Callithrix jacchus: one gene and its partners. The protein of the gene in region 1 purifies or fractionates together with the protein of each later gene. This does not show direct contact. Links are inferred from orthologs where the notes say so. Each region holds a gene or a part of one and is shown in the gene's direction. Other genes may lie near its edges.

Region 1 (4,782 bases):
AGCAGAAAACTACATGAGCTTACGTGAGTAATTGTTTTTAATTAAAGTTTAAAAATAAAGCTAAATTAAAGGATTATAGGCGTTACCCTTGGATATAGCCAGTGGATACATATTTTACTTTGTATGGGCTAAAGGATGTTTTTCTTAACTCCATTGAGTTGGTATGATTTATATCTAAAAACTTGGAATATACATTTGTATTTTAGTGAAAGCAAGGTCTTATATTTCAGTGGTGGTTAAGATTTAGTTTTCTGTTTATCAGTCTGCTTACTGTTTCCTTATCTCCATATTACTTCAGGACACAGCATAAAAATTAACTGAAAACAAGATATTAAGTAACTTAAAAGATTTTAAGATCTATCACAAAAACTAAGTTTTTGTTAAGTTTTTCTCTTACATAAAAGAGCATTGTGGTTTTAGCCTTGCCGTTTTGAACAGAGGTTTCCATGGTTTACTTTTTCTCATTTTCTGAAAACTCAGTTTTCTAGAGTCTTCAAGTAGAAAATTCATGATTATAATTTTTCACATACCTTGAGTTTGTGAGATAATTTGCAAATGAACTGCTATTAGGATAGTTAGAACATCAGGACAAGTTCATAGTGGATTTTATAAAGATTCTGCTAACTTGCAGCTGTAATTGTGTTTAGAATAATTTTAATGTAAAATATTTTAGTCTTTGATAGTTTATAATCTCTGTAATTAGTTAATCGTCACTTTGGATAAATAAGAGTATAATAATATGGCATATTTGAAAATACAAATTAGAACCATTCCTTATTCTTCGAATTCGGCCACATTTTATTTCATCTCTTTTGTTGGTGTATATGGAATTTATAACAATAAACTGTTGTTTTAGAAGGCATAGGAAATTTCTTCAAAATGGCCAGGTGCAGTGGCTCACACCCATAATAGCACTTTGGTAGGCCAAGGCAGGAGAATCACTTGAGCCTAGAGTTTGAGAATCAGCCTAGGCAGCATAGGGAGACCCCGTCTCTACAAAAAACTCTTTAGACAGGCCTGGTTGTACATGCCTGTAGTCCCAGCTACTTGGGAAACTGAAGCAGGGAGGATCATTTGAGCCTAGGTGGTCAAAGGCTGCAGTGAGCAGTGTTCAGGACAGAAACGCTGTTTCAAAAAAAAAAATTGAAATACAACATGGATAAATTGTTTAAAGCAAGCATCTTGTATTTATTTAAATTTAATAATTGATCCTTTCAGATACAAAATATTCAACTCTCATGCAAAGTACAACTAGAATTTTATGGAATAAAATTTGAAAATTTATGTTTGTTCTTCTGTTAGGATTATACAAGATAGACGAGAACAAGCAAAACAAGACTTGAAGGGTTTGGAAGAGACAGTGGTAAGAAAAGGACTGGGGAATATTTTGTGGGGTTTTTTCTACCATGATTATTCTGAATTTAAAGTCTGAACTCCAAAAATATTGCTGTTTCTTAATCCAAGGCAAAAGAACTTCAGACTTTACATAACCTGCGCAAGCTCTTTGTTCAGGACCTGGCTACCAGAGTTAAAAAGGTAATATAACTATGCCGAGGTGGGTGTTTGTGTAATGGTGCTTACTTCTAGGTAATTCTTTTATTCAAAGTGAAATAACTTTATAGTTATGTCAGTTTTTGTACAATTAAGCTTAGATTTTTTTTATTTTTTTATTTTTTCGTAATACTTACCTTCTTTTCTCAGAGTGCTGAGATTGATTCTGATGACACTGGAGGCAGCGCTGCTCAGAAGCAAAAAATCTCCTTTCTTGAAAATAATCTTGAACAGCTCACTAAAGTGCACAAACAGGTACTAAAGAGTTTATTTTCTGGTAGCTGAAAGGGTAGTAACAAATCAAAAATTGATTATTGGCAAGTATTTCAGTCTTTCAGAATTTCTATACTCTGAGCCATTTTATCAGAAATTATGTAAAGAAACCACAAGTAACTTTTAGAGGAGTTAATTTTAACAACCTTATTATCAAAAGAGATAGTGAAAATATGTATTCTTATTTTCTCTTTAGGATTTTAAGACTGCATTTTCATAATTTATTGTAATTTTGAAATCTCTACTACATAGACTTTGCAGTTAAAATACAGTCTTCTGGGGAGAGTGGTCTTTTTATACCTAATACACCACCCAGTGTGTCAAATATAATGAAGGAGTTTGTCATGTTTTTAAAAAGTAATGCTTACTTTGGAGGTTTTTTTGGTTCTTTGCTTATTTTTTGTTGGGACTTGATAAATGATTTAAGTTACTAATTTCAAAAAGTTTCTCTACACTTAATTGTTGTGTATCTTTGTTACTGTAAACCTGATGTTTGCACCAGAGTATGGTTAAAGATATTTTAGCTTTTCTTGTCTTCAGCACTTATTAAGGGTCTTGCTAAGTTTATGTTTCTTATGTGCTTAATATATCTAAAGAGATTTTCATTTCAGCAGATTACTTGTCTTACTGAAGAAACATAGCACTGTCTTGTAATTTATTGTCTTTGCCTAGTAGAGGGAAATAACAGTCCCCCCCCTCAAAAAAAATTAGAGGAAATTATACCTTTGTGAATAAATAGATGTGTATATGATATGTACAGATGGATGTATTCTCTGCATGTTTCTGCCTAAATTAGATAAATGGGAAACAACATAAGATGCAGTTTTACTTCTTTTCTAAAGAGCAATTATGAAATACTTGTACTTTTAAAAATCATTTTGTTAAATCTAGAATCCTTGTTTTCTTTGTGAACCCCTTAGTTGGTACGTGATAATGCAGATCTCCGCTGCGAACTTCCTAAGTTGGAAAAGCGACTTCGAGCTACAGCTGAAAGAGTGAAAGCTTTGGAATCAGCGTTGAAAGAAGCCAAAGAAAATGCATCTCGTGATCGCAAACGCTATCAGCAAGAAGTAGATCGCATAAAGGAAGCAGTCAGGTCAAAGAATATGGCCAGAAGAGGGCATTCTGCACAGATTGGTTAGTAGAACACATTAAAACCTTTAAACCTTGCTCAGTTTGAATGCTTTTAGTTGAAAACATAATCTGAATTTTATAACGTGTTTTCATGGTGCATCTGTCTTTATTTTCTAACTTAGCAAAGAGTGGCACATGGTGGGAAAGAGGAATAACCACATTAGCAGGACATGAAGATAAATGAGAACTAGAGAAGCAAGCAAGAATTGTCATGGAATGGAGAAACTATATAGAGCAATATTACTAAAGCCAAGAGAATTGCAAGAAAAGCCATCAGCAATGATTTCATGTTTAAGAATGATCATTGGTGGCTGGGCACAATGGCTCACGCCTGTAATCCCAGCACCTTGGGAGGCCGAGGTGGTTGGATCACCTGAGGTCAGGAGTTTGAGACCAACCTGACTAACATGGTGAAACCGCCTCTCTACTAAATACAGAAAATTAGCTGGGCATGGTGGTTAACAGCTGTAATCCCAGCTACTTGGGAGGCCGGGGCAGGAAAATCCTTTGAAGCTGGGAGGTGGAGGTTGCAGTGAGTCAAGATTGCGCCATTGCACTCCAGCCTGGGTGACAAGAGAGAGACTCCATCTCAAATAATAATAATAACCATCATTGGTGCAGGAAGTTTTTTGTTTTTTATTTGTTTCTGTATATTTATTTAAATGACACAGGGTCTTACACTGTCACCTGTGCTGGACTGCAGTGGTACAATTATGGCTCTCTGCAGCCCTAACCTCCCAGGCCCATGCAATCCTCCCACCTCAGCCTCCCAAGTAGCCAGGACTACCTACAGGAGCATACCACCACATCTGGCTGATTTTTGTATTTTCTGTAGAGACTGGGTCTTGCCTTACTGCTCTCTTTGGTCTTGAAATCCTGGACTCAAGTGATCCACCCACCTCAGCCTCTTGAAGTGCCGGCATTACACAGGCCTGAGCCACTGCACCTGGCCAGGAAGAAGATTTTTAAAGGCTAAGAATTGTACAGGTCCTAGAAAAAAGAATGGAACAGAAAAGAAAAAGTGATAGAGAAACAAAAAGGCAAAGAAAAACTAATCATTTGGAAATTTGTCGAGAATAAGAGAAGATACCTTAATAGTCATTGCTGTCACATCTTAAGCTTTATTCTAAAGCCAGTCTTTATTTTTCATATTAGCTAAACCTATTCGTCCCGGGCAACATCCAGCAGCTTCTCCAACTCATCCAAGTGCAATTCGTGGAGGAGGTGCGTTTGTTCAGAACAGCCAGCCAGTGGCAGTTCGAGGTGGAGGAGGCAAACAAGTGTAAACATTTATACATACCCACAGGTTTGTAATTTATACCTGGCTTTTCATAGCTATATATGGAAAATTGGTTGTTAAATGGTTTTGGGGGTTTTAAAAATTCTCATATTAGTGCTATAATTTTTTTAAACTTAAGCAATTATAAAAGTTATTTAGCTTGATCTTTTTTTATAGTTTAGATCATACTGTATTCAAATTTGTGATCTTAATTGTTTTGAAATCTAGCATTGGACCATTTGTAATAAATAGCTCTTAATGTTCTGTCTAATGGATGTACCATGGTTTATAAACATCCCTTTTTGCTAGATATGTAATTATATTAATTTGTTCCATAATTGAAATTTACAGAAACCACAATTTTTATGTACGAAATATGAAACATCGTTTTTTTTTTTGAGATGGAGTGTCACTCTTGTCACCCAGCCTGGAGTGCAATGGCGTGAGATCGGCTCACTGCAACCTCCGCCTCCTGGGTTCAAGCAATTCTCCTGCCTCAGTCTCCTGAGTAGCTGGGATTACAGGTGCCCATCACCACACCCGGC
Region 2 (5,437 bases), on another chromosome or scaffold:
TGTGACATAGAAACTGCTGCACTGCTTATGGTGGACGCAGTGCCTTGAGCGAAGTGTGCGTGAACGTGGCATCCCTCCGCGCACATCCACAGCTTTCTGTTCTGACAGCGGAACTGAATCGCAGTACACAGTGTGTAGGTGTGGGAGTCCCTGCTGGCCAGGCCTGGAGGGGGAGGAGGAGGAGGTGGGGAAGCTGGCGGGGGCTCCAAAATGATCCTGGGAGTATGTGAATCTAGAGGTGTGTGAGGCACTTTATGGGGCTGTGTGAGTTTGGGAGACAGTGTCAGGGTCAGGTGCACGGAGATGGTCTGAGTGAGTGATTTCACGAGTGGGAGAGACAGTTAGTTTCTGCGTGAGTTTTCCTCTGCTTAGACTAGCATCTTTTTCTTTTCTTTTTTTTTTTTTTTTTTGAGAAGGCATCTCACTCTGTCATCAGGCTGGAGTGCAGTGGCACCCTCTCGGCTCACTGCAACCTCGGCCTCCCAGGTTCAAGTGATTCTCCTGCCTCAGCCTCCCAAGTAGCTGATATTACAGGCACCCACCACCACATTGAGCTTAATTTTTGTATTTTTAGTAGAGAGGGGGTTTCACCATGTTGGCCAGGCTGGTCGCAAACGCCTGACCTCAGGGGATTCACCCGCCTCAGCCTCCCAGTGCTGGGATTACAGGCGTGAGCCACCATGCCCAGCCTTGGCTTTTATTTCTGAAAATATACCTGTGAGTTGGGTGGAATTTCTAAAAGGGAAGTGTGTACAGATTGTTTTTGAAGGAACAGTATATGTGTGTGTGCCTGAGTGTGTTGTTAGGTTGTATTTCTAAAAGGAAAATGTAGGTGTGTGTAGAGTTGTATTTTTAAGAGGAGAATGTATATGTTGATTTTTTTTTTTTTTTCTGTTTTAAACTGGGTCTTGTGCTGTCGCCCAGGCTGAGCGGTGCAGCTCCAACCTCCTGGGTTCAAGCGATCCTTCCACCTCAGCCTCCAGGTATGCCACCAACCACACCTGGCTAAATTTTTGATTTTGTTTGTAGAGATGGGGTCTCGCTGTTTCCCAGGCTGGTCTCAAACTCCTGGTCTCAAGTGGTCCTCCTGCCTCAGCCAGAATTCCAGAGTGCTGGGAATACAGGTGTGAGCCACACACCTGGCCTCCACTGTATTTCTAATGAGGGAGTATGTGTGTGTAACTATTTTTGGAGGGTACATGAGTATACCATGTTTTTTGTTTTGAGACAGAGTCTTATTCTGTAACCCAAGCTGGATTGCAGTGGCACGATCTGGGCTCACTGCAACCTCCACCTCCCAGGTTCAAGAGATTCTCCTGCCTCAGCCTCCTGAGTAGCTGGGACAACAGGTGCCCACCCCCACACCCAGCTAATTTTGTTTTGTATTTTTAGTAGAGATGGGGTTTCACCAGGTTGGCCAGGCTGGTCTCAAATTCCTGGCCTCAAGTGATCTGCCTGCCTCAGCTTCCCAAAGTGCTGGGATAACAGGCATGAACCTCCATGCCGGTCCCTGTCTTGTATTTGAGAGAAGGGGACATTTGTGTGTGTGTCAAATTGTATTTCAGAGAGGAGAATGTGGGTGTTGCATTGTGCCTTTAAGAAGGGAGGGTGAGGTGTGTGAGGTGTGCTTCTGAGGAGTGTGTGTGTCTAGGAGGACCCCAGAGGCATCGCCAGCTAAGCTGTGACCCACATACAACCACATGAAGTCCCATGGAGGGGCCCTGCCCACTGTGAGCTGGGCTTCAGACCCTCAGCTGTCCCATGGCCAGTGTGACATCCCTGGACCACACCTATCACATGTGTGTCCCAACAGGCCCTGGGCTGGCTGAGCCTGTCTGTGATGGAAGAGGGTGGAGCCCCTGTTACCTGGGAGCCGACACATGACCCCCTCCTCTACCCCCCCAACCTAGAGGCCTCCTGGGCTTCCAGGGGCCCCAGCCCCTCAGCCTTCTCCTCCCACCACACCCCACCCCCAGTGGTCTGACTGGTTCCCAACAAAAACACCCTAAGAATGAGCTCACGCAGAGGCTGCCGCCTCCACATGTCCCGCCCCACTTGCCCGGCAGAGGAGGGTGCCTCTCCCAGGTCACACGGCCGACCTGGAGCTCTGGGCCCAGAGATCCAGGGGCCTTGGGGTGGGGAAGGCTGGGCAGGTGAGCTGAGGGAAGATGGGGGACCCCCAGGCCAGCTGTTTGCCCTCTCTTGGTTAATTATGCATAGGATTTGGGCAGAACCCTGGGTTGGGAGGACAGAGGAAGGTAGGTTAGAATGTTCTAGATGAGAGCTGGCTAGGTGGGGGGCTGGGGGACAGTCAGCTGAGGGCTGGGATGTGTGTGGAAACTGGGATGCAGAGGGTATGGAGGCAGAGGGCTGGCCAGAATGGGTGGAGTGGGGAAGAGATAGGATGGGGAGAAGTTAGGGGTCCTGATGGCTATTATGGGAGTAGAGGCTGGGGCCAGCTTGCTTGGCCCTGGCAATGATTCCCTGACCCCCCCACTGTTACCCTCCAGAAGCAGCAATGTCTGTGCAGGTGGCAGCACCCGGAAGCGCGGGGCTGGGCCCAGAGCGCCTGAGCCCTGAGGAGCTGGTGCGGCAGACGCGTCAAGTGGTACAGGGTCTGGAGGCGCTGCGGGCAGAGCACTGTGGCCTGGCAGGGCACCTGGCGCAGGCGCTGGCGGGACAAGGCCCAGTGGCTGGCTGGGAGATGCTGGAGGAAAAGCAGCAGGTGGTGAGCCACTCGCTGGAGGCCATCGAGCTGGGGCTGGGCGAGGCCCAGGTATGAGGGGGGCTAGGTGGGGGGCTGGGGGACAGTCAGCTGAGGGTGGGGGAGGGCCAGGTATGAAGCTCACTATTGCAGAGGGGCACACTGGGAGCCTGAAGCCGGCTAATCATGAGATCAGGAGTTCGAGACCAGCCTGGTATCATAGTGAAAACCCATCTCTACTAAAAATTCAAAAACTAAAGGATTACATGCCTGTAATCCCAGCACTTGGGTAGGCTGAGGTGGGCAGATCACGAGGTCAGGAGTTAGAGACCAGCCTGTCCAACCTAGTGAAACCCGGTCTTTACTAAATATTCAAAAATCAGCCCAGTGTTGTGGCAGGCGCTTGTAGTCCCAGCTACTCAGGAGGCCGAGGTAGGAAAACAGCTTGAAGCTGGGAGGCAGAGGTTGCAGTGAGCGGAGATTAAGCCATTGTACTCTAGCCTGAGCAGCAAGAGTGAAACTCCATCTCAAAGTAAAAACAAAAAAAATTAGCTGGGCATGGTGGTACGTGGCTGTAGTCCTAGCTACGCAGGAGACCGAGGCAGGAGGATCACTTGAATCTGGGAGATGGAGGTTGCAGTAAGCCGAGATTGTGCCACTGCACTCCAGCCTGGGTGACAGAGCGAGACTGTCTCAAAAAAAAGTATGGCAGAGCCGGGTGCGGTGACTCACACCTGTAATCCCAGCACTTTGGGAGGCCAAGGTGGGTGGATCATGAGGTCAAGAGATCGAGACCAGCCTGGTCAACATGGTGAAACCCCGTCTCTACTAAAAATACAAAAATTAGCTAGGCATGGTGGCACATGCCTGTAGTCCCAGCTCCTCAGGAAGCTGAGGCAGGAGAATTGAACCTGGGAGGCGGAGGTTGCAGTGAGCCAAGATCATGCCACTGCTCTCCAGCCTGGGTGACAGAGCGAGACTCCACCTCAAAAAAAAAAAAAATGCCAGAGAGGCGCAATGCTGCAGGGCGAGGCCTGGGGAAATCAGGCCTGGGAAGGGGAGGCTCCAGGCCAGAGACCGAGTCCCTTGGCAGCTTTATGGGGTCCTTGTGACAGGGACCCCTGAACCAGATGGCATTCTTCAGCAAACTGAGTCCTGGGGTGAGTGTGGGGGTGAAATCAGAGGGGCCCCTGGGAAACTGAGGACACTGGAGCTGCATTGGTGGAGTCTCTGCAGAACTTGGGGTATTGTGCATAGCAGTGAGGGGCTGCAGCCTGATTTGAGGCCTGGGCTGGGTTGTGGGCTGCCTGGAAGGGTAGGAACCAGCATCGACTTAGGACCCCCACCCCGGGCAGGTACTGCTGGCCCTGTCAGCACACATGGGTACACTGGAGGCAGAGAAGCAGCGGCTGCGGGCACAGGCCCGGCGGCTAGCCCAGGAGAACGTGTGGCTTCGGGAGGAACTGGAGGAGACACAGCGGCGGCTTCGGGCCAGCGAGGAGGCTGTGGCCCAGCTGGAGGAGGAGAAGCACCACCTGGAGTTCCTGGGGCAACTGCGACAGTATGACCCATCTCCAGAAAGCCAGGTACCACAGGCAGGTCAAGGCGGCATGGGGGCTTCACCCTTCACAGAGCCCGACAGTCCCCCCAGACCCTCCTTAGAGTCCTACAGTTCCCCGACTCTCCTTATATTTCCCAGACCCTGCTTTGAGTCCTATAGTCCCCCAGAACCTCCTTAGAGCCCCCCAACCCTCCTTAGAGTCCCTCTGTAGAGTCCCACAGTCCCCCAGACCCTCGTTACAGTTCCCCTGACCCTCTGGAGAGTCCCACAGTCCCCCCAACCCTCCTTAGAGCCCCAGTCCCCCAGAACCTCCTTAGAGTTCCTTAGAGTCCCACAGTCCCCTAGAGCCTCCTTAGTGTCCCACAGTCCCCAGACCCCCAACCCTCCGTAGAGCCCCCAGACAGACCCAGCAGCACTCCTGTAGACACCCCCACCAGCTGCTCCACGAAGTTCCCAGAACCTCGCCTGTCCCCCGGGGCCCCTCACACTCGTGATAACCACCTCCCTCAAACCCTGAGATCCAGGGCCCCATCTCTGAAACCCACACACCTCCTGACCCCCCACTTTCCATGTCCCTGCAGCAGCCTGAGTCCCCGCCTCGCCGAGACAGCCTGGCCTCCCTGTTCCCCAGCGAGGAGGAGAGGAAAGGTGGGTGTCAGGGGGTACATGCCCTGAGGGATGGCAAGGGCGGGGAGGGGGCTCTGAGCTGCCAGACCCTAGTCTCTGAGCAGGGGAGGGGGAGGTAAGGGCAGGTTCAGGAGGACCCTGAATGTGACAATGGGCAGGGTAGCCCCCCTGCACGGCAGGCCCTGTATTCACATTCCACAAGGCAGGTGGGTTGCTGTGTTCCAGCTGGTTAGATGCTAGTGACCCCAATCTTAGAAGTCAGTGTTGGGGGTAGGGCTATAGTTTCAGGGACCAGTTGGGCAGTCTGGCAGTTCTGGGCAGTGTCCCCTCATGCAAGGCTGGAGGAGCAAGAGGCTGCGGTTACTCAGAGCCCACCCCATCCCCCACTTAGGTCCTGAGGCTGCAGGAGCAGCAGCGGCTCAGCAGGGCGGCTACGAGATCCCCGCCCGACTTCGAACCCTGCATAACCTCGTGATCCAGTACGCGGGGCAGGGCCGCTATGAGGTAGCAGTGCCTCTGTGCCGCCAGGCCTTGGAGGACCTGGA
Region 3 (5,506 bases), on another chromosome or scaffold:
GATTACAGGCCTGTGCCAACACACCTAGCTAATTTTTATATTTTTAGTAGAGACAGGTTTGGCCATTTTGGCCAGGCTGGTCTTGAATTCCTGGCCTCAAGTTATCTGCCCACTTTGGCCTCCCAGAGTGCTGGGATTACAGGTGTGACCCACTGCACCCAGCCAATTTTTATATTTTTAGTAGAGATGGAGTTTCGCCATGTTGTCCAGCCTGGTCTTAAACTTGTGACCTCAGGTGATCTGCCCGCTTCGGCCTCCCAAAGTGCTGGGATTATAGGCATGAGTCACCTTACCTGGCCTGTTATAAATTTTTGAAGGGTGTGAAGGAAAATGTCATGGTACTTCCTGTGTATGGCCCATTTTTTTCTCAATTACCCAAATTGTCTTTAGAAGCACAGACCAGTTTTATTTATTGCTTTGCATTCTAGTTTCTGGTTCCTGTGCACATACTACATGCAAAAGGAGCCAAATAAGTGATTTTTAATTACGTTCCTCAGCCTTACAAAGTTCAAGTGTTTCAATATACAGGTCTAGGGTCTTAACATGTTTTTCCCTTTGACTGCTTAAATCCCCTTGTCCTTGTTCCCACCTGTGTGGTCTCGGCCCCCAGACTTCCTCATCTTCACTGGTGTAATGGTGTACTTGGTACGACTCTTCCAGGACACAAAGTTGGCATTAAGGGCCGCAGAAGTAAGGACTGGGCAGCAGGGGAGCAACATCAAGACAGAGGGCTGTTGGAGGAGGGCACTGTCCATCATCTGGGGATAAAAAGACATCTTTCATTTGAAAACTAGTTGAAGGCAAAGCATCAGAGAACCAAGGCAGAGTACACAGATCAATTTTAGCTTGTAGCCCACTTCCTCCAGGATGTGTCCCAAACCAGCCATCCAAAAACTTCACCCATCACAGCTCGCACAGCAATGTTTTCCTCTTGGTCATCTCCTTCCAAATTTGGCTCACAATTCTCTATCTCCAGGAATCTGTTCTTCTCTAAACAATCCCGTTCGTCAGAGCTCGTAACATCCACACATCCATGTACCACCATCAGTGCCAATTCCTTTTGCCCTCTGCATTATGTTTCTGGGACTCTTTCACATATGAAGTGGGGGTGGGTGAGAATCATTTCACTTTTGTTCCTTGCTGTATTCCCAGTATTTCAGAGTGTGTTGGTTTGGATTTGAATTTTAAATATACATCTGCCAAACTCTACCATAATCAGCCTGAGAGCTCCAGAGGAGCAAGACTTACAACTTATCTTTTGCGTGACTCACCAGTCACCTACCAGGACCTCAAGATATCTTCCCCCTAAGACCACTGTTCTTGGTATCTTGCTCTGCATTCCCTAACCTCAGCAGTAACTAATCCTTGCAGGTATCATATCATAATGGTTAAGAGCACAGGTTCTGAAAGCCAGACAGCTTAATTCTGATAGTTGATGTGTGACCCTGGACTCCTTATCAATTTTCTCATCTATAAAATGGGAATAATAACTGCCTTATAGAGGTTTGAAAGGAGCTCATTTATTTGAAACGTCTATTACCTATACCTTGCTTATCATAAGCACTCGGTAAATGTTAATTACTGAAACCTCTGCAACCGGTGATCTCCAAAGCACTTTCACCTTAAGTATCTCGTCTGAAGAATTTCGCCCTATAAGACAGCAACATTTGTAGAGGAGAAAGATGAGGCTGAGAGTGTGCCTTATCCAAGGTCACGGACCTGCGCGACTCCTGACCAGCCTGGCACCCTGCGTCTCGCATCCGCGCAAACCCCATCTCCGGCAGCCCGAATGGAACCAGCCTTCTTCCCGGTTAAGGTGGATTACCTGGGCGGCGGGGAACAGACTTGGGACAGGGGCGGCGACGGTCGGGGGTGCCAGGCTCAGAGAGCGCAGAGCGCGGGTCAGTGCCCACAGGGCCATCGGGTTAGCTAGGGCTCAGCAAGACACCCTTACTTTCAGCGAAGCTGCTCGGCGCTCCTAGATGAGGTTAACTGTCAGGCGCCGTCGCTCCGCAATAACGTAAAAGGAGGCGGGCAGAAAACTGGAGCCCAAGCTGGATACCCACCTCCTTTCTAGCTGAACGCGATAACAGCCAATCCGCGGGCAGCTCTAATGTCGCGTGACTAGGAAACGGGTCCCGCCCCTTAGACCCGTCAAAACAATTGCCTCGAGCGGCAGCCATCATGGATTTAAAGGGGCAGTACCGGCAAGAGCGGCAGACAGACCGGTAGATTGCAGGTGAGTCTTTGAGTCTTCAGTACCTCTGGGGCTGAAGGTTAAGATTTCTGCCATCTTTTATTCTCGCACTTCCAGAAAGATGAACAAACCCCCTTCAACCAACCTTACAAAACTCCGGACTCAAAAACTCCGCCCTTCGCGATTCTTCCCCGCCCCTCGGCATCCAGACAGACAGACAGACGGCCTGCCCCGCCCCCTGCGCCACCAGCTGACTCAGTGACCTCGGGGTCGTTAGGCCTCCTGGTCCTCGCTGGAGCCGCGGACCTCAGTCATCCATCCACACCTCCCCCCTCCTGCCCCCGCCCATCTCACTCTCCCAACACTGCGCCCCAGGGCAGGTCGGCAGCCCGAGGCATTCCTCTTCTGCGTTCCCAAGTCCGGGAGACCCACTCTTGCGCCGCGGTTCACTGCGACCCCGCAGCCGCTAAGCAGACGTCCCATTCTTCCCTGCATCATCGGGCATTAGGGAGGCAGCCTACGGTGATTCCTCTCAGAGCCTGTTTGTAGGTGACCGTGACAGAGACAAAGCCATGGAAGTGGCTGGGTTTGGAGTGACCAGGTGTTCCTCCCTCCCTTTTCCCAAGACACGCCTCTTGCTGTAGGTCTCTGATTAAGTCTCTTTCACTCTCTTCGTGGGAGACTGTAGCTCCTCAGGCCTGCGGTTACGGAGGCTGGCATGGGGAAGGAGAAGGGAATTGGGTGTCTTTGAAGACCTGTAGGTAGAAGGAGGGAGAGAGGAAGGGAGGGTGTTTGTCCTGGGTGGGGCTCTGTGCCGGGTCCTCTGGGTAGCTGTGAAGTGGTGAGAGAAGGGGTGGGAACGCTGGACTTCTGGACTTTGGGCAGGGCAGATCCTTCTGAGTCTGACTGCTGAACAGAGTTTCTTCCGGGCTCCGGCCTGAGTCCCACAGCCAGGGGTTCTGGTCTGTACACAGGTAAGAAGACTTCAAAGATTAGAAACAAGACCCTTCCGAGGAAGTGGGAACACAGCCTGAGTTCTGGGGGGTGGGAAGTATGGGTTGAAGGTTAGTGGGAAAAGATGCAGGGCTGACCAGGTTTGGAGATGCTGGACTTAGTTCTGCAGGTGATGCAGCCTGAAGGCCTTGAGTTTTCTGGGACTCTCTAATGTGGATCCTGCAAGGAAGGCTCCTGTTTTCTTCTTTTCACTTTCTTCACTGATTTAACTTTGCAGAGATTCCTTCCCTTTTTTCTAAACTCCTGCATTGTTTTCTGCATATCTCCCACTTCAACCCTGTTTCCTTTGCAGCTCTCCCGAAGTCCCTCTGTGATCCCCTGGGTGCTGTCTCTCATCCCCTGATTCCTTTTCCTAACCCAGGCTCTCTCTCTAACTGCTTTTCTGTTGTCTTCCTAAGTCCTAAATCCTTCTGCTAGTTCTAAGCACCTTTGTTCCTGTTACAGCCTTCCTTTGTTTAAGTCAGTTCATCTCCCTCGCTCTTTGCCCACAACCTTAGCTTTGAGTTAGTGATCTAGGCTCCCTGCCTGCTGGTCACTCTCTCTCTCCAACTAAGCCACAGGGTCACTCTTACTTTTGTCCCTTTACTTGGATTCTCACCACCTTCTAAGAAAGTTGCTCAGCTTCTCTATCTCATCTTTACTTCAGCTGAACTCTGTTGTTTCTTCCTAGACCAGGCAAGGATCCCTGGCCAGGATGTCAGGCCTGGTGTTGGGGCAGCGAGATGAGCCTATGGGGCACCGGCTCAGCCAAGAGGAGATCCTGGGCAGCACACGGCTGGTGAGCCAAGGGCTAGAGGCCCTACACAGTGAACACCAGGCTGTGCTGCAAAGCCTGTCCCAGACCATTGAGTGTCTGCAGGGAGACCATGAGGAAGGGCTGGTGCATGAGAAAGCCCGGCAGCTTCGCCGTTCTATGGAAAACATTGAGCTCGGGCTGAGTGAGGCCCAGGTGAGAGGGCAAGGGTGGCCCCCAAGTGGTTCGGGGTAGATGGAGGAACAGTTATCTGATTGGAGGTTTGGGGTTGCTTGGGATCACCTCGCCCTAGATGTTTGCATTCATTCATTAAATATGTATTGAGTCCCTACTGTGTGCCAGACTGCTTTTGGGTACTGAAGAGATACATCATTCAACAAAACTGTAAAAAATCTTTGCCATCTTGGAGCTTACCTTCTGGCTGGGGAAGACAAACAGTACATAAATACATTTGGTATGCCAGAGTGGTAATTGCTAAGGATAAAAGGACAAAAATGAAGCAGGGAAGGAAACTAGGGACTATAGAGACAGGGTATAATTTTAGATAGGGTGGTCAAAAAAGGGCTTACTGAAAAGGTGACATTTTGACAAAGATTTGAAGGGAATGAGTCATGGCATAAACAGGGGAAGGGTGTCCTAAGCAGAGAGAGCAGCAAGTACAGAGGCCCTGAACAGAAGTCTGCCTGGTCAGGTCAGTGAATAGCAAGGGGCCAGTATGCCTGCAGTAGAGTGAATGCAGAGAAGCAAAGTAGAAAATTAAGTCTGAGGGGTAATAGGGTTGGAGAGGAGGGAGATAGATCATGTGGAACTTGTAGGCCATCCTGAGGACTTTGATTTTACTTTTTTTTTGAAATGGAGTCTCCCACTGTTGCCCAGGCTGGAGCGGCGTGATCTTAGCTCACTGCAACCTCTGCCTGCCGAGTTCAAGCAGTTATCCTGCTGGGTTCAAGTGATTCTCCTGCTCCAGCTTCCCGAGTAGACTGGGACTATAAGCATGCACCATCAGACCCGGCTAATTTTTTGTATTTTTACAAATACAAAGATGCAGGGGTTTCACCACGTTGGCCAGGCTGGTCTTGAACTCCTGACCTCATGATCCGCCTGCCTCTGCCTCCCAAAGTGTTGGGATTACAGGTGTGAGCTACTGCACCCAGCCCTGATTTAACTTTGAGTGAGATGGAAATTATTGGAATGTTTTCAGAAGAGGAGTGATGTGGTCTAACTCGGCATCATCTGGCTGCTGAGTTACGAATAGACAACGGGGGAACAAGGGCAGAAACCAGGAGGCTAGTGAGGAAGCTACTCTATTTCGGGTGGGAATTGATAGTGGCTTGGCCTAGGGTAACGGCAGTGGAGGTGGTGGGAAATTGGATTCAGGGTATGTATTGAAGGTAGAGACATTGCTACATGCCTACCTTCTGGCTCCTCTGTGCCCCTGCCAGTCTTGCCACCTGCAGTAGGCTCCCCTTCCACCTGTACCTGAATACTCCCACCCAGAATCTGGAACTCAGGGTATGTGTCCATCTAGGTGATGCTGGCTC

Evidence for each region.
Region 2: the proteins of KIF5B (region 1) and KLC3 purify together in Homo sapiens (affinity purification with mass spectrometry; 3 studies listed by BioGRID and IntAct, with this or other methods). This does not show direct contact. The link is inferred for Callithrix jacchus from reciprocal best matches to the Homo sapiens genes KIF5B and KLC3.
Region 3: the proteins of KIF5B (region 1) and KLC4 purify together in Homo sapiens (affinity purification with mass spectrometry; 4 studies listed by BioGRID and IntAct, with this or other methods). This does not show direct contact. The link is inferred for Callithrix jacchus from reciprocal best matches to the Homo sapiens genes KIF5B and KLC4.

Annotation. Positions count from the first base shown.
Region 1 is NC_133508.1:31,752,192-31,756,973, reverse strand, and holds part of KIF5B (kinesin-1 heavy chain), read left to right. Parts: coding exon 1-23; intron 24-1,302; coding exon 1,303-1,363; intron 1,364-1,464; coding exon 1,465-1,536; intron 1,537-1,701; coding exon 1,702-1,806; intron 1,807-2,744; coding exon 2,745-2,961; intron 2,962-4,113; coding exon 4,114-4,244; 3' UTR 4,245-4,264; intron 4,265-4,782. UniProt on the Homo sapiens protein: Microtubule-dependent motor required for normal distribution of mitochondria and lysosomes. Can induce formation of neurite-like membrane protrusions in non-neuronal cells in a ZFYVE27-dependent manner.
Region 2 is NC_133523.1:39,524,107-39,529,543, forward strand, and holds the start of KLC3 (kinesin light chain 3), read left to right. Parts: upstream 1-1,908; 5' UTR 1,909-2,011; coding exon 2,012-2,153; intron 2,154-2,510; coding exon 2,511-2,776; intron 2,777-4,059; coding exon 4,060-4,290; intron 4,291-4,846; coding exon 4,847-4,913; intron 4,914-5,283; coding exon 5,284-5,437. UniProt on the Homo sapiens protein: Kinesin is a microtubule-associated force-producing protein that may play a role in organelle transport. Plays a role during spermiogenesis in the development of the sperm tail midpiece and in the normal function of spermatozoa.
Region 3 is NC_133505.1:51,537,080-51,542,585, forward strand, and holds the start of KLC4 (kinesin light chain 4), read left to right. Parts: upstream 1-2,186; 5' UTR 2,187-2,239; exon of another isoform or gene 2,240-2,314; 5' UTR 2,315-2,342; coding exon of another isoform or gene 2,343-2,402; 5' UTR 2,403-2,551; coding exon of another isoform or gene 2,552-2,695; 5' UTR 2,696-2,742; exon of another isoform or gene 2,743-3,171; intron 3,172-3,881; 5' UTR 3,882-3,905; coding exon 3,906-4,160; intron 4,161-5,493; coding exon 5,494-5,506. Other genes in the region: MRPL2 (large ribosomal subunit protein uL2m), read right to left, coding at 590-758, 2,552-2,695.